Macaca fascicularis: one gene and its partners. Each later gene encodes a partner of the first gene's protein in a complex. Links are inferred from orthologs where the notes say so. Each region holds a gene or a part of one and is shown in the gene's direction. Other genes may lie near its edges.

Region 1 (7,678 bases):
TTCAAGACCAGCCTGGCCAAAATGGTGAAACCCCGTCTCTACTAAAAATACAAAAATTAGCCGGGTGTGGCAGCTCACACCTGTAATCCCAGCACTTGGGGAGGCCGAGGCAGCCAAAATGGTGAAACTCTGTCTCTACTAAAAATACAAAAATTAGCTGGGCATGGTGGCGCCCACCTGTAGTCTCAGCTACTCAGGAGACTGAGTTGGGAGGATCATTTGAACCCAGGAGATGGACGTTGCACTGAGCTGAGATCACGCCACTGTACTCCAGCCTGGGCGACAGAGCGAAACTCTGTCTTGAAAAAAATTTCAAAATTAAATAAAATATAAAAACAGACAGCAGGACAGGCATAGTGGCTCACGCCTATAATCCCAACACTTTGGGAGGCCGAGATGGAAGGACTCCTTGAGCCCAGGAGTTCGAGAAGAGCCTGGGCAACATCGTGATACTTCAGTCTGTACAAAAATTTGAAAGTGAAAAATAATAGCCAGACCAGGCGCAGTGCTCATACATGTAATCCCAGCACTTTTGGAGGCTGAGGCAGGTGGATCACTTGAGTTCAGGAGTTTGAGACCAACCTGGCCAACATGATGAAACCCCCTCTACTAAATATACAAAAATTACCCAGGCATGGTAGCACACACCTGTAATCCCAGCTACTTGGGAGGCTGAGGCACGAGAATGGCTTGAACCTGGGGTCGGAGGTTGCAGTGAACTGAGATCACGCCACTGCACTCCAGCCTGGGCAACAGAGTGAGACTCTTTCTCAAAATAAATAAATAAATAAATAAATAAATACCTGGGCATAGTGGTGTGCCACTCCCTGCAGTCCCAGCTACTCGGGAGGCTAAGGAGGGAGGATCACTTGAGCCTAGGAGGTCGATGCCCCAGTGAGCCATGACTGTGCCACTGCACTCCAGGCTGGGGAGCAGAGCAAGACCCTGTCTCTTAAATAAATAAAACAGTTAAAAAAGGAAAACAGGAAAACGCCAAGTGCAGAGAAGCCTAGTAGTACTTGGTGGGGGAAACAAAAGTTGTTCCAGGTATAATAGTTCCTGAAGTCTATCATGGCAAGACACCAGGCACTCAAATTCCAGGTCATGAACTTACCTTTTCCTTGTTTTGAGGATTACATTGTGTTGGGCAACAGCAGTAAGGTATACATTCTGGAGTAACTTCCAATGAAAAAGGTGAAAGCATACGCGGAACTTTGCAGCTCTGAAAAAGTTCAGCCAGTCGTTCTTGAAAAGTCCTCTTTTTAAACAAAGGGGGTTTCAGTCACCTCACATTTGCATAGCAGTTTCTCTCCTGTCAAAGCCTTTCACATTCACTTATTTTAATTCTTACAGCACTCACTGAAGAGTGTGGAGTTGGGGGTCGGGGGTGGGGCGCAGAGCAGTGTTAACATCTTTCTGTAAGAGAAACAGAGACTTTTGAGAGGCCAGGCATGGTGGCTCATGCCTGTAATCCCAGGACTTTGGGAGGAAGATCGTTTGGGTCCAGGAGTTCAAGACCAGCCTGGGCAAAATGGGGGAAACCTGTCTCTACAAAAAAAAAAAAAAAAAAAATTAGCTGGGTGTGGTGGTGTGCCCTGGTAGTCCTGGCTACTCAGGGCACTTGAGGCAGGAGGATTGCTTGAGCCCAGGGGGCAAGAGGATGCAGTGAACTGTGATCGCGACACTGCACTCCAGCCTGGGCGACAGCAAGACTCTGTCTTGGAAAACACACAAACAAGAAACTTTAAAAATTAGTTGGGTGTGGTGGCACACGGATGTAGTCCTAGCTATTCAAGAGCCTGTGGCAGGAGGATCCCTTGAGGCCAGGAGTTCAAGACCAGCCTGGGCAATGTTGTGAGACACACCACCTGCCCCCATCTTTACAGAGAATAAAAAAGTTATCTGGGCACTATGATGCACACCTATAGTCCCATCAATTCGGGAGGCTGAGATGTGAGGATCGCTTGAGACATGGCAGTTGGTGGCTGCGGTAAGCCGAGATCGGGTTAGTCCACTGCAGCCTGGGTGACAAGAGTGAGACCCTGCTTCAAAAAAATAAATATATAGAGGCCGGGCGCGGTGGCTCACGCCTGTAATCCCAGCACTTTGGGAGGGCGAGGCAGGCAGATCACTTGAGGTCAGGAGTTCTAGACCAGCCTGGCCAACATGGCGAACCCCTTCACTACTAAAAATACAAAAATTTAGCCGAACTTGGTGGTGTGTGCCTGTAATCCTAGCTACTCGGGAGGCCGAGGCACGAGAATCACTTGAACCCGGGAGGTGGAGGTTGCAGTGAGCTGAGATCGCGCCACTGCACTCCAACCTGGGCGACAGAGCCACACGCTGTCTCAATAATTAAATAAATAATAAGAAAAAAAAATAAAAGAGGCTCTTGAGAGTCAACTCATCTGCCTGAGCCACTTATTTCACACATCCCAGGACGCCTGATGAAGGGTTCTGGATTTTATTGTCTCCTGTCATCCAGGCGGGCTTCCTGGAGGAAACTGGACCGCCAGGGAGGCCGCGGCCTCGGTTCCAAGGGTCGCGCGTCGCAGGGTCGGAGGAGGTGGGGAAGAAGGGGCCGCTCCGGGGCCGACCCCGCCCGCAGTTAGGGGCCCACGTCACGTGACCAGCCGGGCGCCCGGGTCACGTGCCGGGGCGGGAAGGTGGGGGCTGTCGGGGGCGACTGGCGTCCGGACAGCGGCGCGCGGGGCACGCGAGGAGCGCAAGAGGAGAGGCGGCGCAGGCCGGAGCCGCGGAGGGAGGCGGCGGCGGCGGCGGCGGCGGAGGAGGGGGCGGCCCCGCGGCCCCGCGTCCGCGTCACGTGGTGCGAGGCGGGCAGCCATCTTGCTACAAACACAAACACAGAGGAGCGGCCGCCGCGGGAGCGCCAGCGTCCCCTCCCCCGTCGCCGCCGCCGTCCCCGGCCCCAGCCCGCCGCGCGCCGCCCACGCCCCGGACCGGACCCTTGCGCCGCCCGCGGTAAGCGCCCGGCGTTCCCGCGGCCCCCAGCTCACAGCCCGGCCCCGGGGCAGGCCCGCCCCCGACGCCGCGGCGGCCGCGCCGAGCCCGCGAGCTAGCGAAGCGCTGGAGCCAGCGCGCGGGCCGCCGACGAGGACCCTCCCCCGTCTCCTCCCCGAGGCCGCTGCCGCCGCCGCCCGGTGCGTCCGCCCGCCCTCCCGCCCGCTCCGGCCCCTCCCCGCCGCCGGGACCCTCCCCCAGAGCCGGCCAGCCTCGGGGAGGCCCCAGGAGGCCGGCGCCCGGCTTGGGGGGCGACCGCTCGACCCCCGCGCACCTGGCGCCCCTCCCTGAAGGGCACGCCGTCCTCCCGGGCCGGCCCGCCGCCTTCCACCCCCGCGCTCCTAACGGTCGCCCCCGGGCCTCTGCCAAGCCCTGCTGTGGGCCGCCTGGGGGCCCCCGACCCTAGCGTCCTAAGGTGTCCGGGCCCCGCGCTCCCCGGAGTTCTCCCCAGCGCGCCTTTGGGTTCCCCTCGGAAGGAGCTGGGCCTTGCTGTTCCCCAAGTCCAAGCTTTCCACGACTTTGGCCAACATGGAAGCCTTCTCCTCCACCCAGGCACCTCGCCTGAGTCCTCCTCACCTCCGTTTCCTTTCGCTCCGGCGATCTTAGTGCTGGGTCATTGGGGTCTCCTTCCCAGTTGCACAACCGCGGGAAACACCTTCCATAGTAGAGACTGCTTTCCCTCCCCGTCCCAGGCCAGGCCCTTCCCAGCTCATGACCCTCGGTGCAGCAGCTCCCTGGCCACAGCTCTCACACCTTGCCTTAAAAAAAAAAAATTTCCAAGTAACTTTTTAAGAGCCCCTTGTTTGTCTCCTCTGTTACACAGTCATTACTCGCTTTCCCGGTGAGACTCTAGGTCTGTTGTATCCTAGTGCCAGGAACTGGGAGATGCTACATAAAGACTTGTTAGTTGGATTGAATTTTTTTTTTTTCCAATCACCCAAGCCTTACTTCCCTCTTGCCTTTCAAAGTGTTGTTCTGGAAGATCGTCCGCTTTCCCATCCTCTTTGCACTGCCCCTTCGAGTCCATATAGCAGTTTCGATTTAGAACCCCGCCAACCCCTGGCCTTTGGCATGGAAACACCATCGGTGGTACCAGTAAGGGTCTCTTCTTTGCTGTCGACATGGGGGATTTGGGGTTCTTTCTCCTTCCCATCTTTCCTGTGCCCTTTGCAGACTTAGGCTAGCCACCCTCCACCAGGCTAGCCAGCTCTAATCTGATTTTCTTAGATTGTAGGTCTTGGTACCCCAGCGGTCTGTCGTGTCATTGGGAAGGATTTGGGGGTAGACCTGGACTTGGTGTCCCTGCCATTGCCTGGGAACCAGGGGCCCTGAGGGTCCCATGGGGTGGTTAGTCAAGTGGACCATGTGCTTAAACTTCTGAACTAGCTTGTTCTCCTGTTGGACACATCAGTCTTGTGTCCGTGATCTGATGCGTTAGCCCTAACTTTTACATGTGCTATTAGAATTTGGGAATTAAAAAAGAAAAATAGCCCACTATAGAGGAGAGAAGATGAGAGGAGGCGGCTAGATGAAGGAGGTTGAAAGTCTAACAAATGTGAAATGGCTTCAAACTCACAGAGTAACGCTTGAGAGTTTGGGATGGTCATTACTGCCATCGTGCACACCTCCAGTATTCCATAGAGTGTCGAGGATGTCGGGGCACACTGTCGGAGCAGCTTCCTCCTTGTTTTCCCTGGCTGGAGCCCATGGCTGGGCAAGTGGGCAAAAGGGATCACAGGAGGTAAAGAGTGAAAATGCTTAAAAACTGTTAACTTGTAGGCAGTTGCCAAGCGGTGGTGTGATTTGTTGGGATGGCTCAGAGAGGAGAGAGCAGGGATAACTGACCAGCCGCCAGGAATGCGGGCTTGCATCTCTTCTTTAAGCCTCAGCGTCTTCATCCTACCACGCTTGGAGAATCTCCATCCTGAGAAAGGCCCAGGTCCCCTCCAGCAGGCCTGGGGCTGGGCGGTGGCTCCAGTGTTGGGGAACTGGGGACTCTGCTTCTGTTTAAGTGGCACTGTTCTGTGCCAAGGCACAGTGCTCCGTGTTGGAGCTAATTTTAGGGGTGATGGAGTGAGGAGATAATGTTCTTAGCTGAATGTGCACTGGAACCGCCTGTTCTCCGTCTTTTCCTTCTCCCTTGAGTTCTGAGCCCCAGAGAGCGGGCTCCCTTCCCGCGCCCTGGTGCCTGCTGGAGCACCCAGGCCCAGCATGTCCTCGCCCCTTGTTTCCGGCAGGGGGCAGTCTTTCAAAAGCATTGATTCAGATGCTGGGGGACTGAGGGTAGACAGGCCTGAGAAAGAGAAGGGGTGGGGAGGGGGCGAGGCTTGAGGGAAGGGCCAGGGCGGGGGACAGGCTGGAAGGGGCCTGTGAGGAGGAGACCCTGAGCTGAGAAAGCTCAGCCGGAAAAGCTGAGGCGGGCAGGTGGCGGTCCCCCATCCCCCCCGCCACCTCCTGCTCTTGTCTTCATTGGACAGGAATCAGATGCCTGGCTTTGAGAGCTTGCAATAGACAAACTTAGGCAGTTTTTCTTAAAAAAAAAAAAAAAATCTGTTCTTTTCTCAAAGATTTCCTCCTGGCAGGATTTCAGATTTCCCTCGTGGGACAGTGTAATTAGGGAATGATATCCCTGCTGTTCAGAGAGGAGAGTGACCCAGCTTTGCACACACCTGGCTTCCCTTGCCTTCCCCTTGGCCCAGTAGACCCCCGAGGGCTCTGCCCGTGCTCGTGGCGCAGAGGAGGGCATCTCAGCACTGGCGTGCTTGGAATCTGGAGTCACATAGCTCTTGGCTGTGGGGATGCCCTGTGCACCCCCTGCCCAGTGGTGACAGCCCAGAATATCTCCAGACTTGGCCAGGAGCCCCCTGAGGAGCAGAGGGGCCCTGAGTCCAGAACCTGTTGGAGGGTGGGAGCCCCATGGTAGCCTGCAGCTGCGCCACTAGTTCCTTTAGTCCAAGGATGGGGCCAGGCACTACCAGCTTCCAGCACCAGACCCTGCTGTGGGGGCACCTAGAGAGTTAACCTCAGTCTCCTGGTTTCTTCCCAAGAAGGCAGGTGGCATGGGCTTTTTCCTGCTCTGGGCCTGCTCTCTCCCTTGTCTTGGTGTCGCTGTCCTCAGGCTGCATGAGCCACTCCCCCTTGTGTGTGCCCCTTGCAGCTAAGACACAGTCAGGATGGGGGACTCCAGCGGGAGGAACCCAGGAGAGCTGCCCTTGCTGCGCCTGGCAGGGGGCAGTGTGAGGCCATTACTTTAAGATTTTTTTTGTTTTTTGAGACAGTCTTGCTCTGTTGCCCAGGCTGGAGTGTAGGGGCGCGATCTCGGCTCACTGCAACCTCCGCCTCCTGGGTTCAAGCGATTCTCCTGCCTCAGCCGCCCAAGTAGCTGGGATTACAGGCACCTACCACCAGGCCCGGCTAATTTTTGTATTTTTAGTAGAGAGTTTTGCAACGTTGGCCAGGCTGGTCTCAAACTCCTGACCTCAGGTGATCTTCCTGCCTCGGTCTCCCAAAGTGCTGGGTTTACAGGCATGAGCCACCACGCCTGGCCGCTTTTTCTTTTTAAAAAAATGTTTAGAATTGTTTCTGTAGAGTCATGGTCTTGTTCTGTTACTCAGGCTGGTCTCGGACTTCTCTCTTCAAGCCTCCCACAGTACTGGGATTATAGGTATAAGCCATTGTGCTGGCCAGGTGGTGCCTTTTCTGTTCTACCCTCTCCCACCCTCATGCCTGCAGGATGAGCTTCAGGCCTTCTAGAAGGAATGAACTGGAGGAGGCTCAAAACAGCCTCTCCTGAGGCTGATTTGAAGGAATGTGGGGTGTTTTTCTTGGAGTGGGGAAAACTTAGGTATGCGGTGGTTATCTCCAGATACCTTTTGTTCCCTAAAGGTTTTTTTAAAAAGTGATTATTGTGGTAAAATGTACAACAAAATTTGGATACTTTAACTGTCTCTAACTGTGCTGTTCTGTGGCACTGAGTACACTCACATTGGTGTCTGGCCCTGACTACCAGCGGCCCCAGGATCTGCTCCTCAGTTGAAGCTCTGGGCCCTTCAGCAACAGTTCCCTGTCCCCTCAGCCCCTGGTGACTGCCCTTCTACCTTCCTCCCTCAGTGAGTGCCTCCTCTAGAGACCTCATGAAAGAGAAGTAAGGTCTAACTCTCCTTTTTTGGCTGGTCTGTTTCACTTAGCATCATGTCCTCAAGTCTCATCCAGTCCCCAGATTGCTCTAGGAGGCCACCTGCAGTCAGCGACAGGCTGGTGGCTTTGCGTGGCGTGGAGCACACCACCACCGGAGCATCCACCCGAGGCTGAGGAGGGAGAGGCCCCAGGGGAGGCCACCCTGGCCCTGGGTTGCCTCTGAGCCCTGTGGTTCCCCCTGGGGTGCTGGGACTCTGAGCAGGCCTCGGCATGTCATGGGCTGCTGGCTCAGCTGGGGCTGATGGCCTTTCCCCCTTAGCATCCTGGTGGAACCCCCTTCCTCTTCTTTCCCAGACTGTGGCGTCCTGGAGTTGATGGGAGCTGCAGCACCAAGCCGGGCCAGCCTCCCTCCCAGCCAGTGACAACAGCTCTGCAGCGCCTGGACCCCGCCCACCCGCCTGAGTCCTCTGCCGGGGTCCCCAGGGATGCGCCTCCTCCTGAGAGTCCCCTCCATCGTCCC
Region 2 (7,079 bases), on another chromosome or scaffold:
GGTACTTTAGAGTTCTGGAAAAGTGTTTTTGACCCGATGAGTTTCCATAAGATATCCCAAAACCAGAAAAGATTTTCCTAATAGTTTGGACTTTTTCTGTTTTCCTGTGGACTCTGAGAAGCCTCAGGACCATGTTTATCCAGCACTGAAACAAGTAAAGTGAAGAGAGTCGTGGGCCTCACTTAATCAAAGGCTATTCACATTTTCACCTTAATTTAGGAGTAATATTCTGAGAAGTACATGCTGTTATGAAGATAAAAAGTATTTTTCACCAGCACTAAAAGTTACAGTTAAAATATTTTGTTGTATCCCAGCTACTTGGGAGGCTGAGGCAGAAGAATCGCTTAAACCCAGGAAGCGGAGGTTGCAGTGAGCCAAGATCATGCCATTGCACTCTAGCCCGGGCAACAAGAGCAAGACTCCGTCTCAAAAAACAAAAAAAAAATTTGCTGTAAGCGAAGACTGAAATAGCTTCTGTAGGAGAGCTTTAGAATGAAGTCTTTTAGAGGAGCAGGTGAATCCTAATCGGCATCTCTCTCTTTAGCTGGACTGAACCCAAACATGAATGTCAACAGCATGGACATGACCAGTGGCTTGTCGGTGAAGGACCCATCCCAGTCCCAGTCACGCCTCCCCCAGTGGACGCACCCCAACTCCATGGATAACTTGCCCAGTGCCGCTTCCCCCCTGGAGCAGAACCCTAGCAAGCATGGTACGTCTGGGCTAGGATGCCTGTGGTGGAATCACTGCTGGCTTACTAATCGATCTTCCTGTTGTATAACATGCCCATTCTATACTTTTCTAAGAATTGAGCGCTGAAAGTTGGATTTAAAATAACCCATTCCGTTATAGTGCATATGAGATCTCAGCTAGTCAGTGATCAAACTTCTTAAAAGCCAGCCATTAGATCTTAGCTACAAACCTAGAAATAATTTGAAAACCCCAGAGCAGCAAAGAATCTAGGTCATAGCCTATGTACTTTTTTTTTTATATCTCTATTCATCAACAAAAACTTGAGTCTGCTGAAATATTTTCAATAAAATAGTAAAACACAAATAGAAAATCAAATATGCAGTATGTATGGGAACTGCAGCTGTAAATACTAGGGTGCATTTCTGTTGGTTATTCCCCTCCATCCAAGCAGTCTGTCTTACTCCAAACTGGTGTCCCCATCAGGAACTCGTTACCGATGGACACACCAGTAAGGTGGAAGCAAAAATGATACCCGTAGGAGGTACTTTCAAGCATTAAATTTAGCTCTGAACTTGCTGGTAGAATAAACAGCAAAGGAAATTCAATAGGTTATGTAGTTCTCTCTTGATACAAAGCATTCTAAAAAGAAAAAAGAAACTATGGGCCGGGCGCGGTGGCTCAAGCCTGTAATCCCAGCACTTTGGGAGGCCGGGGCGGGTGGATCACGAGGTCAGGAGATCGAGACCATCCTGGCTAACACGGTGAAACCCCGTCTCTACTAAAAAATACAAAAAACTAGCCGGGCGAGGTGGCGGGCGCCTGTAGTCCCAGCTACTCGGAGGCTGAGGCAGGAGAATGGCGGGAACCCGGGAGGCGGAGCTTGCAGTGAGCTGAGATCCGGCCACTGCACTCCAGCCTGGGCGGCAGAGCCAGGCTCCGTCTCAAAAAAAAAAAAAAAAAAAAAGAAAAAGGAAACTATGTCTCATGGTTAACTTACGGAAAATCATCACACACTGCTGGCACCTTTCTTAGCAGGAGGGCCTTGCTGCCTGTGGCTAGTTGGTTTGGTTCTGTATGAATTTTTAACATCCACTGTGTTCTTCCATAGTGAGGGTTTCAGACTAAAAGGAGGGAAGAGGTAAGAGCAAATTTGATAACTAATCACAAAGACTCATAAGTTGTCCCCAAAAAGGTTTATTAAGGGCAGCTTCCCATGGTATGGATATGTATTTTATAAAGATTTCAGGCCGGGCGCAGTGGCTCAAGCCTGTAATCCCAGCACTTTGGGAGGCCGAGATGGGCGGATCACGAGGTCAGGAGATCGAGACCATCCTGGCTAACACGGTGAAACCCCGTCTCTACTAAAAAATACAAAAAACTAGCTGGGCGAGGCGGCGGGCGCCTGTAGTCCCAGCTACTCGGGAGGCTGAGGCAGGAGAATGGCGTGAACCCGGGAGGCGGAGCTTGCAGTGAGCTGAGATCCGGCCACTGCACTCCAGCCTGGGCGACAGAGTGAGACTCCGTCTCAAAAAAAAAAAAAAAAAAAAAAAAAATTTCTAACTGGACAAACTAAAATTGTTCTTCAGGGGTTTCGGTCTTTCAGGGCTGAAATTGGAGCTGGCTTAAATAGTCACTGGCCAGGCATGGTGGCTCACACCTGTAGTCCCAGCTACTTGGGAGGCCAAGGTGGGAGGATCACTTGAGCCCAGGAGTTTGAGGCTGCAGTGAGCCCTAATCACATCACTACACTCCAGCCTGGGCAACAGAGTGAGACATTGTCTCAAAAAAAAAAAAAAAGTCATTGATTCTTACAGAATCCTAGACAGACCAAGTCTTACAATTCATGTAACCGAATAGAGCAAGGCATTGGACCTAGAACAGAAGGTGCATAGGGAGGCTTAGGGTATCTTCTGCTGTCTCTCAACTGGAGGGTATTCACTCGCTTCTTTGTTTCCTGTTGTCCCCATAGGTGCTATCCCTGGAGGTCTAAGCATTGGGCCTCCAGGTAAGTCCTCCATTGATGACTCCTATGGCCGGTACGATTTAATCCAGAACAGTGAGTCACCAGCCAGTCCTCCCGTAGCTGTTCCCCATAGCTGGTCACGTGCCAAATCTGACAGTGATAAAATCTCAAATGGCTCTAGCATCAACTGGCCCCCAGGTAAGACCGTGCAACACTTCCGTGCAACAGCAGCAGGTCAGAACGTGCTCCAAGCCTGCAGAGAGTGATGAGGCTGGGAGGACCCAGAATCTGAGCTAAGGATCTGGAAGCGTTAAGCCCAGAGCTTTGGCATTTTCCTTGGAAATCCATTTGTCAGATCAATTTTGGGTATGGTTAGCATCAGGCATTTTTCTGTAATCCCTTAGTTCAACATGAGAAGTGGAAGGGGTGGCAGGGAGGAAGCACACTGTATACCATCTGGTAAAACTATTCCGACTCTGTGTGAAAACTATCTTAATATGATAGCTAGAATACCTGGTTCTAGTTTGTTCCAAAGGATTGATTGTTTTAATGAAAGAGAGTATCAAGAGTATAAAGTGTACCTCTCATTTAATTAGCAGATTATAAAAATTTCTACAAACAGGACAAAACATCTTTTAAAATGTCATGAATCAATGTGCAGATGTTCTGATCTGTGGCTTCTCATTTGGGTTTCTTAAACAGAATTCCATCCGGGAGTTCCATGGAAAGGACTACAGAATATTGACCCTGAGAATGACCCTGACGTCACTCCTGGCAGTGTCCCCACTGGGCCTACCATCAATACCACCATCCAGGATGTCAACCGCTACCTCCTCAAGAGTGGAGGTGAGGGTGCTGCTCTGCCTGCCTCTGCGCAGACGGTCTCTCTAGACCCATTTGGAGATGTCAGGGGTGACAGGTTGGGCTCTGAGGCAGGGATGATACAAGGCACAGTTGAAGCAGTCATCTGAAGCAGCATGAAGAGACGGCAGTTAGTGCTTATGGGAAAATGGACATCAATTTGAGTTTCTGCTGGAATTTTTTTTTTTTTTTTGAGATGAAGTCTCACTCTGTCACCCAGGCTGGAGTGCAGTGGCACGATCTCAGCTCTCTGCAACCTCCACCTCCTGAGTTCAAGCGACTCTCCTGCCTCAGCCTCCCAAGTAGCTGGAATTACAGGCATGTGCCACCATACCAGGCTGATTTTTGTATTTTTAGTAGAGACAGGGTTTCACCATGTTGGTCAGGCTGGTCTCGAACTCCTGACCTCAGGTGTGACCCATGCTGCTGGATTTATTGATAAGTAATGTCTTATCATAAAAGTGCCATCTCTGACAAAGTTTTATCACAGCATGCTATTTTGTGGAAGAAAGAGCTAGATTGCCATAGGTACTACCACTAATAAGGCCACCTAGGTAGTTCCCAAAACATTAAGTTTCCCACTTGAAATATGACTCATTGGAGCCTTGTGTTTTGTGTTTGCTTCTTTTCTTTCTTTTTTTTTTTTTTTTGAGACAGATTCTTGCTCGTTTGTCCAGGCTGGAGTATAGTAGCGTGATCTTGGCTCACCGCAACCTCCGCCCGCCTCCCAGGCTCAAGTGATTCTCATGCCTCAGCCTCCCGAGTAGCTGGGACTACAGTGTGCACCACCACACCCAGCTAATTTTTTCTATTTTTAGTAGAGACGGTGTTTCACCATGTTGGCTAGGCTGATCTCGAACTCCTGACCTCAAGTGATCCACCTGACTTGGCCTCCCAAAAGTACTAGGATTACAGGCGTGAGCCAGTGTATCTGACTGCTTCTGTGGTTCTTTAAAGTGATAGGCTTCTCAATGTATCTTTGACTGGAAGGCCAACATGAGTACAGATTGCCCTGTCTGTTTAATGCTGTGTATTCCTTGGGGTTACACAGCTGCTTTTCGGATGCAGCTGCTTTTCAGAGCAGGGGTGTTATGGGTGTCCCTGCTGTCAGACACAGTCAAGTGGTACCCAAAAGGGAGCCGTGTGGCAGAGGACAGGTGAGGCGCCAGCCAGAATCAGAGACCCAGCCCTCCCTGCTTGTCATACCTGGTGGGGCACCAGGGTTGTGCCAGACAGGAAAGTTATATTTTGAGGGTTGTGGAGAAGTGGGATGCAGGTTGTACAGATCCAGGTCATAAGGGAAGTTGGAAAGAATCGAAGTTGCTTAATACATGGCAGAGCTCCCTGAGTGGTGCCCAGATGAAGGATCAAGTGGCCCCTTAGCCTCCAGGCAGAACCAGGGCCACTGGGAGTGGCCTCCGCCATCGCCTGAGTGTACCATGATGTGATGAAGATGGCCTGAGAAACACGTGGCAGCTGTTCTCCAGCTCCACATGCAGCTGTCCTCCAGCTCCATAGCCTGTCCAGTTAAGGAAATCAACTTGCGGGGAGGGCAGAAGAGAACCTCAGCCTAAGAAATGCATTGGCCATTGAGATAAGGCAAGGCAGTGGCATCTCCAACCCTGAGCCTAAGAACCAGCCAGCCAGCCAACCTGGGTGACTTGTAGCTCCAAGTGAACATCGTTTGACTTCCCGGGTGCTTGATGTTTGGGTCTTGAGCCTGCCCTGGCACTTGTGCACAAACATCAGTATTCAGCAGCAGCCAGCTCAGGTGGCTCATGCCAGGCCTCCCCTTCAGCTCATGACCAGCACTAGGAACCTTGTTCCTCCACTCTGGTACCTCTCTTGGTTGTATTTAAGGATACATTAGGGTTTGTTACTGAAAGAAAGGGTAGTACAATGAACATCTCTTCACGTAGAAGTTGCTAACCAGAAAGCACTAGCAGGCTGAGCACAGTGGCTCACACCTGTAATCCCAGCACTTTGGGAGGCCAAGGTGGGAGAATCACTTGAGGCCAGGAATTTGAAACCAGCTGGGCAATATAATGAGACCCTATCTCTACAAAAAATTTAAAATGAAAACATTAGCTGGGTGTAGTGGCACACATCGGTGGTTCCAGCTACTCAGGAGGCTGAGACAGGAGAATCACTTGAGCTTGGGATGTCAGGACTGCAGTGAGCTGTGATTGGGCCACTGCACTCTAGCCTGGGTGACACAGCAAGACTTCGTCTCAAAAAAAAAAAAAAAAGAAAAGAAAAGGCCTCCCAAAGTGCTGGGATTACATGCCTGAGCCACTGCGCCTGGTCAAGCTGACACCTTTTTAAAGTAAAGACCTTCCTGAGCAAATTAACACAGGAACAGAAAACAGACAGCCTGAGTTGACATAACACAAAGAAGGGAGCAGCAGACAGCGGGCCTGTTGGAGGGTAGAGGGTGGGAGGAAGGGGAGGATTGAAAAACTTCCTGTCAGGTACCATGCTCACTATCTAGGTGATGGAATGATCTCTACAACACACCCCCACAACACACAGTCCACCTGTGTGACAGACCCGCACGTGTACTCCCAGAACCCAAAATAAAAATTGGAAAAAATAAAAGTGAAGACCTGCAGATTACCCATAAATGCTAACTTTCCTCAACTCTGGTGCCCTCATTCTAAAGAGGTCACTTGCAGCAGGGCAGCTGCAAACAACTGTGCAGGTTGGACACTGCATGTGTCCAGGAAGTGCCACACGCCTGGTTATTCACTGCACAACGTCATGTGGGCCTACAGCTGAGATGCCATGGCTTTTCAGAAACCATCCGATTCTGTGTGTGGTCATCAGTTTAACAGCCAGACTGTGCTTATGTTCCCTCTGCTAGCCAGGATCCATGCCCTGCAGAGTTATTGTCCCAATGAGAGCTCTTTCCATTCTGCATTCACCCCAGCTGTCACCGTTACTCCGTCCTCACTCTTCTCCAGCTTCTTGCTTTCTTCACAGAATTGAAAGGGAGAGCCACATTAGAAAATACAAAATAAAACCAAGCAGCGAGGAGCTGAGCTTTCACACAAGGGATCGAGGTGCCTGAAGGATGGCCCATTTACCCCAAGTCTCCCTTTCAGGCACAGGGACGAGCTTTCCTCAGAAAACTACAGTCCTAGGGATAGAATAACTCAAGTCCATATACACAGTTATTAGGACAGATGTCTTTTAATTATTCATGTATTTAAAAAGGGAATCATGAGCCGGGTGTGGTGGCATCTGTGATCCCTGCCGCTCAGGAGGCTGAGGCAAGAGGATCACCCAGCCCAGGAGGTTGAGGCTGCTGTGCACTGTGATCACGCCTGTGAACAGCCACTGTGCTGCAGTGTGGGTGACATAGCAACTGTGCTGCAGTGTGGGTGACATAGCAACAGCCCCATCTCTAAAAAAAAAAATTTTTTTAAGCAAAATACGAGTTCGGAAGCTGATGGGACACCCCAGTCAGAAGAAATGTTCAAATTTTTATGGCACATTTTGTAATGAATGGCTTGGAGTTTTGTTCTTCTATTTTGTAGCCATTGTTTGAACTGTGAAAGGA
Region 3 (7,619 bases), on another chromosome or scaffold:
AGAGGCGAGGTCCTGCTCTAAGATTACAGCTGGCACAAGAGTTCGGCTGGTAACCAGGGGACACCCTTGGGCAAGTCACCTATGCTCCCTGAGCCTGTTCCCTCATCGGTAAATAAGGTGCAAAAAATAATCCATTCCCGACCAGGTGTGGTGGCTCACACCTGTAATCCCAGCACCTTGAGAGGACAAGGTGGTGGACTGCTTGAGCTCAGGAGCCCAGGAACCCAGGAACCCAGCCTGGGCAACATGGGGACACCCGGTCTCTACCAAAAAATAAAAACTTAGCTGGGCGTGGTGATGCATACCTGTAGTCCCAGTTACTCGGGAGGCTGAGGTGGGGGGATCGCTTGAGCCCAGGAGGTCTAGGCTGCAGTGAGCTGTGATCATGTGACTGCACTCCAGCCTGATGACACAGTAAGAGCCTGTCTCAAAAAAAAAAAAAAAAAAAATTACAAAACTAAAAAAAAAAGTGAAAGTGCCACATAAAGGCCTGACAACAGGATATGATGGCAGGAGGGGACCTTGGAAATATGCCCTCCCTCCAAGCACAGGATTGCTGTCTTTGGGGTTCAATCACCAGCAAGTTCATTTTATTTACTCCAGTGTGTGTCTGTGCTTGTGCATGCGTAGTGTGTTTGAAGCAAGAGCAGAGTCAGAGCCCTAGAGTCCTAGAGGAGTTAGGGAGAGTGGCGGAGAACTTTGATCAGGGAGGGAATCTGGTGACAGTGGGGTCATTTCAGCTTCCCATAAGCCCCTTACTAGCTGTGTATCTGGCACAAGTCTCTCAACCTCTCTGAAAGCCTCAGAAGGCAGAGGATTAGCTCCTTGTACACAGTAAGCACTCAAATTGGCTGCCATTACTATAGGTTACTGTCTCATGGGATCCATATAGTAACCTGAGGAGGTAGGAAGACGTATACCTCAAAGATATACCAGGTTCAGTTCCAGACCAACACAAGAAAGCAAGTCACATGAATGTTTTTGGTTTCCCAATGCACATAAAAGTTATGTTTACACTATACTGTAGACTAGCAAGAGTGCAATAGCATTTTCTAATAAAACAATATACATACCTAAATTTTAAAATACTTTATTGCTAAAAATGCTAATGATCAATCTGAGCCTTCAGTGAGTCGTACTCTTTTTGCTGGTGGAGGGTCTTGCCTCGAGGTTGATGGCTGCTGACTGGTCAGGGTGGTGGCTGCTGAAGGTTGGGGTGGCTGTGGCAATTTCTTAAAATAAGACATCAGTGCAGTTTGTCTCATCAATTGACTCTTCCTTTCATGAAAGATTTCTCTGTAGCATGCGATGCTGTTTGATAGCATTTTGCCCACAGTAGAACTTCTTTCAAAATTGGAGTCAATCCTCTCAAACCCTGCTGCTGCTTTGTCAACTAAGTTTATGTAATATTCTAAATCCTTTGTTGTCATTTCAACAATGTTCACAGCATCTTCACCAGGTGTAGATTCCATCTCAAGAAACCACTTTCTTTGTGCATCCATAAGAAACAGCTCCTTATCCGTTACAGTTTTATCATGAGACTGCAGCAATTCAGTTACATCTCTAGGCTCTACTTCTAATTCTAGTTCTCTTGCTATTTCCACCACATCTGCACTTACTTCCTCCACTGAAGTCTTGAACCCATCATAGTCATCAATGAGGGTGGGAATCAACTTCTTCCAAACTCCTGTTAATGTTGACATTTTGACCTCCTCCCATGAATCACGAATGTTTTTAATGGCATCTAAAATGGTGAATCCTTTCCAGAAGGTTTTCAATTTGCTTTGCCCAGATCCATCAGAGACATCTCTATCCATGGCAGCTAGAGCCTTATGAAACGTATTTCTCAAATAATAAGACTTGAAGGTCGAAATTACTCCTTGATCCATGGGCTGCAGAATGGATGTTGTGTTAGCGGGCATGAAAACAACATTAATCTCCTTGTATATCTCCATCAGAGCTCTTGGATGACTAGGGGCATTGTCAATGAGCAGTAATATTTTGAAAGGAATCTTCTTTTCTGAGCAGTAGGTCTCAACAGTGGGTTTAAAGTATTCAGTAAACCACACTGTAAACAGATGTGCTGTCATCCGGGCTTTGCTGTTCCATTTATATAGCACAGGTAGAGTAGATTTAGTATAATTCTTAAGGGCCCTAGGATTTTCAGAATGGTAAACAAAGCATTGGCTTCAACTTAAAGTCACCAGCTGCATTAGCCCCCAACAAGAGAGTCAGCCTGTCCTTTGAAGCTTTGAAGCCAGGCACTGACTTCTCCTCTCTAGCTATGAAAGTCCTAGATGGCATCTTCTTCCAACAGAAGGCTGTTTCATCTACATTGAAAATCTGTTGTTTAGTGTAGCCACCTTCATCAATGATCTTAGCCAAAGCTTCTGGATAACTTGCTGCAGCTTCTACATCAGCACTAGCTGCTTCACCCTGTGCTTTTATGTTGTGGAAACGGCTTCTTTCCTTAAACCTCATGAACCAACCTCTGCTAGCTTCAAACTTTTCTTCTGCGGCTTCCACACCTCTCTCAGCTTTCATAGAGTTGAAGAGAGTTAGGGCCTTGTTCTGGATTAGGCTTTGGCTTAAGGGAATGTTGTGGCTGGTCTGATCTTCTATCCAGACCACTAAAACTTTCTCCATATCAGCAATAAGGCTGTTTCGCTTTCTTATCATTCGTGTGTTCATTGGAGTAGCACTTTTAACTTCCTTCAAGAACTTTTCCTTTGCATTTACAACTTGGCTAACTGTTTGCCGCAGGAGGCCTAGCCTTCGGCCTATATCGGCTTTTGACATACCTTCCTCACTGAGTTTAATCATTTCTAGTTTTTGATTTAAAGTGAGAGACGTGCGACTCTTCCTTTCACTTGAGCACTTAGAGGCCATTGCAGAGTTATTAATTCGCCTAATCTCAATATTGTTGTGTCTCAGGGAATAGAGAGGCCCAAGAAGAGGGAGAAAGATGGGGAACAATCTGTGGGTGGAGCAGTCAGAACACACACAACATTAAGTTCGCGGTCTTATAAAAGACGCTGTATGTGGCACCCCAAAACAATAGCAACATCAAAGATCACTGATCATAGATCACCATAACAGACACAGAAATCATGAAAAGTTTGAAATATTTTGAGAATTACCAAAATGTAACACAGAGACACGAAGTGAACACATGCTGTTGGAAAAATGGCGCTAATACAATTGCTGGACTCAGGGCTGCCACAAACCCTCAATTTGTTTTTAGAAAGTCCTATCTGCGAAGCGCAATAAAACGAGGTATGCCATAGTATAGTGGCGCTGCCGCCAAAGGAAAGCCTCGGGAAGGTTAAGAGAGATACCGGAGAGTGCGTCCGGCACTGGAGGAGGAGGAGGGTTTTTACCAGGCAGCGAGTCCAGAGCCCGCGCTGTCAACGACGCGGTGCTGCCTTTTTTCGGAGGCGCTGCAGGAGGGCGCCTGGACACGCTCCCTTAGGAGAGCGGGCAGGTCACAGGACCTGGACGGCGACAAAGCTGAGACCTGAAGCCAGCTCCGCCGCTGAGGCCAACCCTCTGCGCAGCCGCCCTGGGCTGGCGTCCCGAGATAGACGCCCCCAAACCGGGCCTGCGCGTGGACGTTCCGCTGTGCCCCGCGCAAAACCGGAAGTACCCGGGCCTAAGGCTGAGGGACCCGGTGGAGCGGAAGTCACTCCCTGAGGCAGTGGCGACAGCCGCGGCGAGAGGATGAACAACAAGTTCGACGCGTGAGTGGCTCGTGGCCGCCCCCGGGGCCCCTTCCCCCAACAGTTCCCCCGCGCCCGCCCCCACTGGGGCTAGGGCGGCGCAAACCCGGCGGCCCCGGCTTCCCTGCCGGGATCAGGCTGCGGCCGGACCTGGCCTGGGCTGGCGGGGAGGAGGGGGCTGGGGAGCGATGGATCCCGGGGTCCCGGAGACCCCAGGGCCGTCCGAACCGAGGGCGAAGAGCTGAGCCCGGGGGAGGGGTGGCTGTGCCGCCCGGTAGGGGGAGATTTTCGGACGCCCCGCCCCGGTGGATGCGGATTGCCGACGACGTGGAGGGGTGGGGACCTCGGCGGTTTGGGTGTTTCCGCAGTCTGGCCGCGCTGTCTCTGAATCCAGCTTTCCCCACACACTCCCTCTCCCCTCTGAGCCTCAGTTTTCTCATCTGCAGAGTGGGGACGGTAACACCCTTTGTCGTAGAGTTTGGAGGATGCAATGAGGTAATGTGGCGGCTGCCCTCGACGCGGTGGAAGGCTGGCTTAGGAATTAGCATCTTCCTGAGACTCTTCCTACTTTCTTTCTCCTCCCACTCCCGTTCCCGTCTTCCAACACACTCGCCAAGACTTGGGTATACTTGTCGCCCTCTCTTGCCCGCTCCGGTTTCTAGTTTCAGCATCAAACAGTTTGGAGGTACAGAGGGAAAATGCAGAAGTATTTTTACTTATTCCCCTCCAAGGATTGTATCTTGAGGTAGAATATGTTCCTACCTCTGTTCCAGTAGTCTAGTAAATCTGCCTCTTCATCTGAAAGCCTGGATTTGTAGTCCCAGATTCACCACTTACCAGCTGTTTGACTGTGGAAAAGTTACCCAGTCTCTGAGCCATTGTTTCTCAAACCACGTTAGTGGTTAGTACCCTGCTGCCACAGCGGGGTGTGATAAGGGTCAAATCACACTCAGCAATGCTTAAAGATATTTGTGAAACATTGCTAACTACTGAGATATAAACGTAAAGTGGAACTACTATTAGTTTAGGTTGTGATCTTGTGCTTTTGATGGGAAATTAGGGTTTTTCCAATGCAGAGAGTACTGTGCAAATTCAAAGAGTACTGGATTTCCAACACTCCAGGCAGGTAGGTCCTCAGGCATGTTTGCTGGTTGCTGAGAGGTCTCTGCTACTTGAGAAAGTCTTTGCCCGACCTCTTCTCTATCCTTAGGTTTAACTGAGCCTATCCCTCTACGAACCTCTCCCACACTGCCGTCCCATTTCATCTCTATCGTAAACCCTGCAACACCTAGTTCCAGATCCACATCCTGCCTCAGTGGAGCTTTCTGGAACCTTTATACCCCTTCCTCCACTGATTTGCACAAACCAAATTTCATCCTAAGAAGACATCTTATGGGTCATCTAGCTCAGGCCTACCTAAATCATTTGGGGGTCTGCAGTAAGAATGGTAATAATGGACTTCCACAGGGATCTTGCTAGGTACTTTTCATATATATATGTTTTTTGAGCCAGGGTCTCACTGTGTCACCCTGGCTGGAGTGCAGTGGTGTGATCACAGCTCACTGCCCACTCAACCTCCCGGGCACCAGCAATCCTACCATCTCAGCCTCCAGAGTAGCTGGGACTACAAGCATGTGCCACCCTGCCTGGCTAATTTTTTTGTATTTTTTGTAGAGACAGGGTTTCACCATGTTGCCCAGGCTGATGTCCAATTCCTGGACTCAAGAGATCCACCCACCTTGGCCTCCCAAAGTGCTGAGATTACAGGCGGGAGCCACCACCCCCAGCCTCATATGTTATTTCTACTCTAACAACTCTGTGAAGGGGATCTTGTTATCTCCTTTTACAGATAAGGAAAAGGAGACTCTGAGATTAAGTAATGCCCAAGACAACAGGAAAGGAAGGGCTATCCCAGGTTTGTTGTGTAACCTTGGTTCAAGCACCTTGTGAGAAAAATTAAACTTGTCCACTTTTTTATCTTAGCTCTTCTATGATTGAAGAACCTGGGTCATTTTAATCACTTTGAATTATTAACTATTATATTGAGCCAGAATCTTTTAACATCTACCCTCTAGCATTGCAGGAAGAAGAAAAACAAGCTTTCTTTCATTTGAAATTAGCAATTGAAAACAGCACTCCTGCCCCTAGTTTTATTTTTTTATGTTGTTTTTCATTCAGAAATTCTGCAGTTTTTAGGCCATTGCTGCATATTTGGAGTCTTTATCACATTGCTCTCTTTACTAATCTGCACTCTTTACCACATTGCTCTTAAGGACATGTTCCAGTTTGCCAGAATTCTTCCAGAAGTCCAGTGGCTGGAGCTGAGTACAGTAGTATATAATCTAATGGGCTCATATTAAAGATTAGCTCTAATCTCCGTTACTGTATGGACTCAACTTCTCTGAATGAAACCTTTGATTATAATTGCTTTTGTGGAGAGGGGGTAGACCTATCAAGTCCTTAGATTGCATTGCCAGTGATCCTATTGATATGTAAAACCCTAAGATGCTTTCACAAAAACTGCAGTCCTGACGTAGTTAAACATGGTTTTCAGATCTAGACCACTGTACTTGATTTTGTCCGTATTCTACATCATTTGCTTTTTATTCTGTATCGTTAACTTTGGGCCCATTCCTAACTATTGTCTAAACCACGTATTTGGCACTCATTGCTTTGATTCTATAGACCCATTCATTAAATGGAAATTTGTTTTATGCCACTGTCTGATGGTGGGGGTATAAAGATGAATTGAACCAAGGTCTTGCCCACAAGGAATTGGTCTAGTTCAGAGGGTGAGGAAATACCTGGGCAGAAGCTTAGCAAGCTAACTAAAGTTCCTCTCAGTCTGGACAGCCTCAGAGTTGCTACCTGACTGCCTGAGTTTACAGAGCACTGATTTTTCAGGCTGAGTGGTATCTTGACTCAAATCCAGCTTGAAGCTGGGAAGAGTAGCTTATAAGATTTGCCTTAAATATAGGCTTAGAGGGCAGAGTAGTTGGTTAGTTCCACCCTCAGGTAATAAAAGCACTAGGTGTAGGTCCATTAGGGTTCCCATTTACTGTCTTAGAAAGGAATCCGAAGTGGTCCAGGGATCACAGGAACATTGTTTCTTCTCTGACAATTATTTTTGTTAGTTTTTTCTCTGTTTCCTGGTAGTGATAAGCAGCAAAACCACTAAAAAGAAAGGAAGGTATATGCTTTTCTTGGGACTAGCAAAAACAAGATGCTGGGATGACTATACCCCTCTTCAACCAAGATCTAAATGCAAGGGACCCCAGAGGCTATAGTGGGAGTTGGAAGCTAAGAAGAGAGGAATAGGGTTTGCATCCTAGGGGTGTGCCCTAAAGAAGAGAGTTGAGAGCTGTCCTGGGCCTAAGCAGAAGAACCCTTGAGATGTTCTTGATCAGGAGACAGAACTGGCCATGAGAGTATAGCTGGAACAAGTGCAAACATTTATATGGGGAAGTTCAGAAGAGGAGAGCCCAACTTAGCCTAGGTCGGGAGAGGTTAGGAAATGTTTCCAAGAGAAAGTGGCCCTCGATCTGAGTCCTGTAGGACAAGTTAACTAGGCAAAGAAGGACTTCTTGAGGAGAGACCACATGATGAGCACAGCAGAAGGATAAAATTGGGGCATCAAAATTACGATGATACAACTGGAGTGAAAAGAGTTCGTTGGGACCAGGAAGGAGATGATATTGGGACATGTGAGCAGAGCAGGGGCCTTTGCACCGTGCTGAGGCATGGATATATCTGTGAACCTTTTCTCCTCAGCTGGGTCCTTGGGGACAAGCACTCTGGTAGCTCATACACACCATAGATGCTTGGTAGATGTTGGTAATTTTTAATCCATAGATCTTGTGTGCTAGACAGACTCCTTTTGAAAAGGAAACCAAATGTTTA

What was found.
Region 2: the proteins of GIGYF1 (region 1) and TNRC6C are in contact, whole or in part, in a crystal structure (PDB 7RUQ), measured with the Homo sapiens proteins. The link is inferred for Macaca fascicularis from reciprocal best matches to the Homo sapiens genes GIGYF1 and TNRC6C. Residues at the interface, in NP_001362694.1 of Homo sapiens: Tyr479, Asp481, Pro482, Gln487, Phe490, Trp498, Tyr503, Phe504, Leu508; in NP_001136112.2 of Homo sapiens: Arg1719, Pro1720, Pro1721, Pro1722, Gly1723, Leu1724, Thr1725.
Region 3: the proteins of GIGYF1 (region 1) and EIF4E2 are in contact, whole or in part, in a crystal structure (PDB 5NVK), measured with the Homo sapiens proteins. The link is inferred for Macaca fascicularis from reciprocal best matches to the Homo sapiens genes GIGYF1 and EIF4E2. Residues at the interface, in NP_001362694.1 of Homo sapiens: Leu36, Ala37, Asp38, Tyr39, Arg40, Tyr41, Gly42, Arg43, Met46, Leu47, Leu49, Tyr50, Glu53, Asn54, Lys55, Val56, Pro57, Glu59, Leu60, Glu64, Phe65, Ala67, Val68, Leu69, Gln70, Asp71, Glu72, Pro73, Leu74, Gln75; in NP_004837.1 of Homo sapiens: His54, Pro55, Leu56, Gln57, Tyr64, Lys83, Gln84, Ile85, Gly86, Val91, Glu92, Trp95, Arg96, Phe97, Tyr98, Ser99, His100, Met101, Val102, Arg103, Leu107, Phe113, Ile137, Arg138, Leu139, Arg140, Gly142, Leu143, Ser145, Arg146.

The regions. Positions count from the first base shown.
Region 1 is NC_088377.1:49,282,948-49,290,625, reverse strand, and holds the start of GIGYF1 (GRB10-interacting GYF protein 1), read left to right. Parts: upstream 1-2,849; 5' UTR 2,850-2,982; exon of another isoform or gene 2,983-3,161; intron 3,162-7,512; exon of another isoform or gene 7,513-7,678. UniProt on the Homo sapiens protein: May act cooperatively with GRB10 to regulate tyrosine kinase receptor signaling. May increase IGF1 receptor phosphorylation under IGF1 stimulation as well as phosphorylation of IRS1 and SHC1.
Region 2 is NC_088390.1:84,517,027-84,524,105, forward strand, and holds part of TNRC6C (trinucleotide repeat-containing gene 6C protein), read left to right. Parts: intron 1-544; coding exon 545-712; intron 713-2,662; coding exon 2,663-2,854; intron 2,855-3,358; coding exon 3,359-3,502; intron 3,503-7,079. UniProt on the Homo sapiens protein: Plays a role in RNA-mediated gene silencing by micro-RNAs (miRNAs). Required for miRNA-dependent translational repression of complementary mRNAs by argonaute family proteins.
Region 3 is NC_088386.1:128,464,154-128,471,772, forward strand, and holds the start of EIF4E2 (eukaryotic translation initiation factor 4E type 2), read left to right. Parts: upstream 1-3,669; 5' UTR 3,670-3,720; coding exon 3,721-3,740; intron 3,741-4,062; exon of another isoform or gene 4,063-4,209; coding exon of another isoform or gene 4,210-4,214; intron 4,215-7,619. UniProt on the Homo sapiens protein: Recognizes and binds the 7-methylguanosine-containing mRNA cap during an early step in the initiation. Acts as a repressor of translation initiation.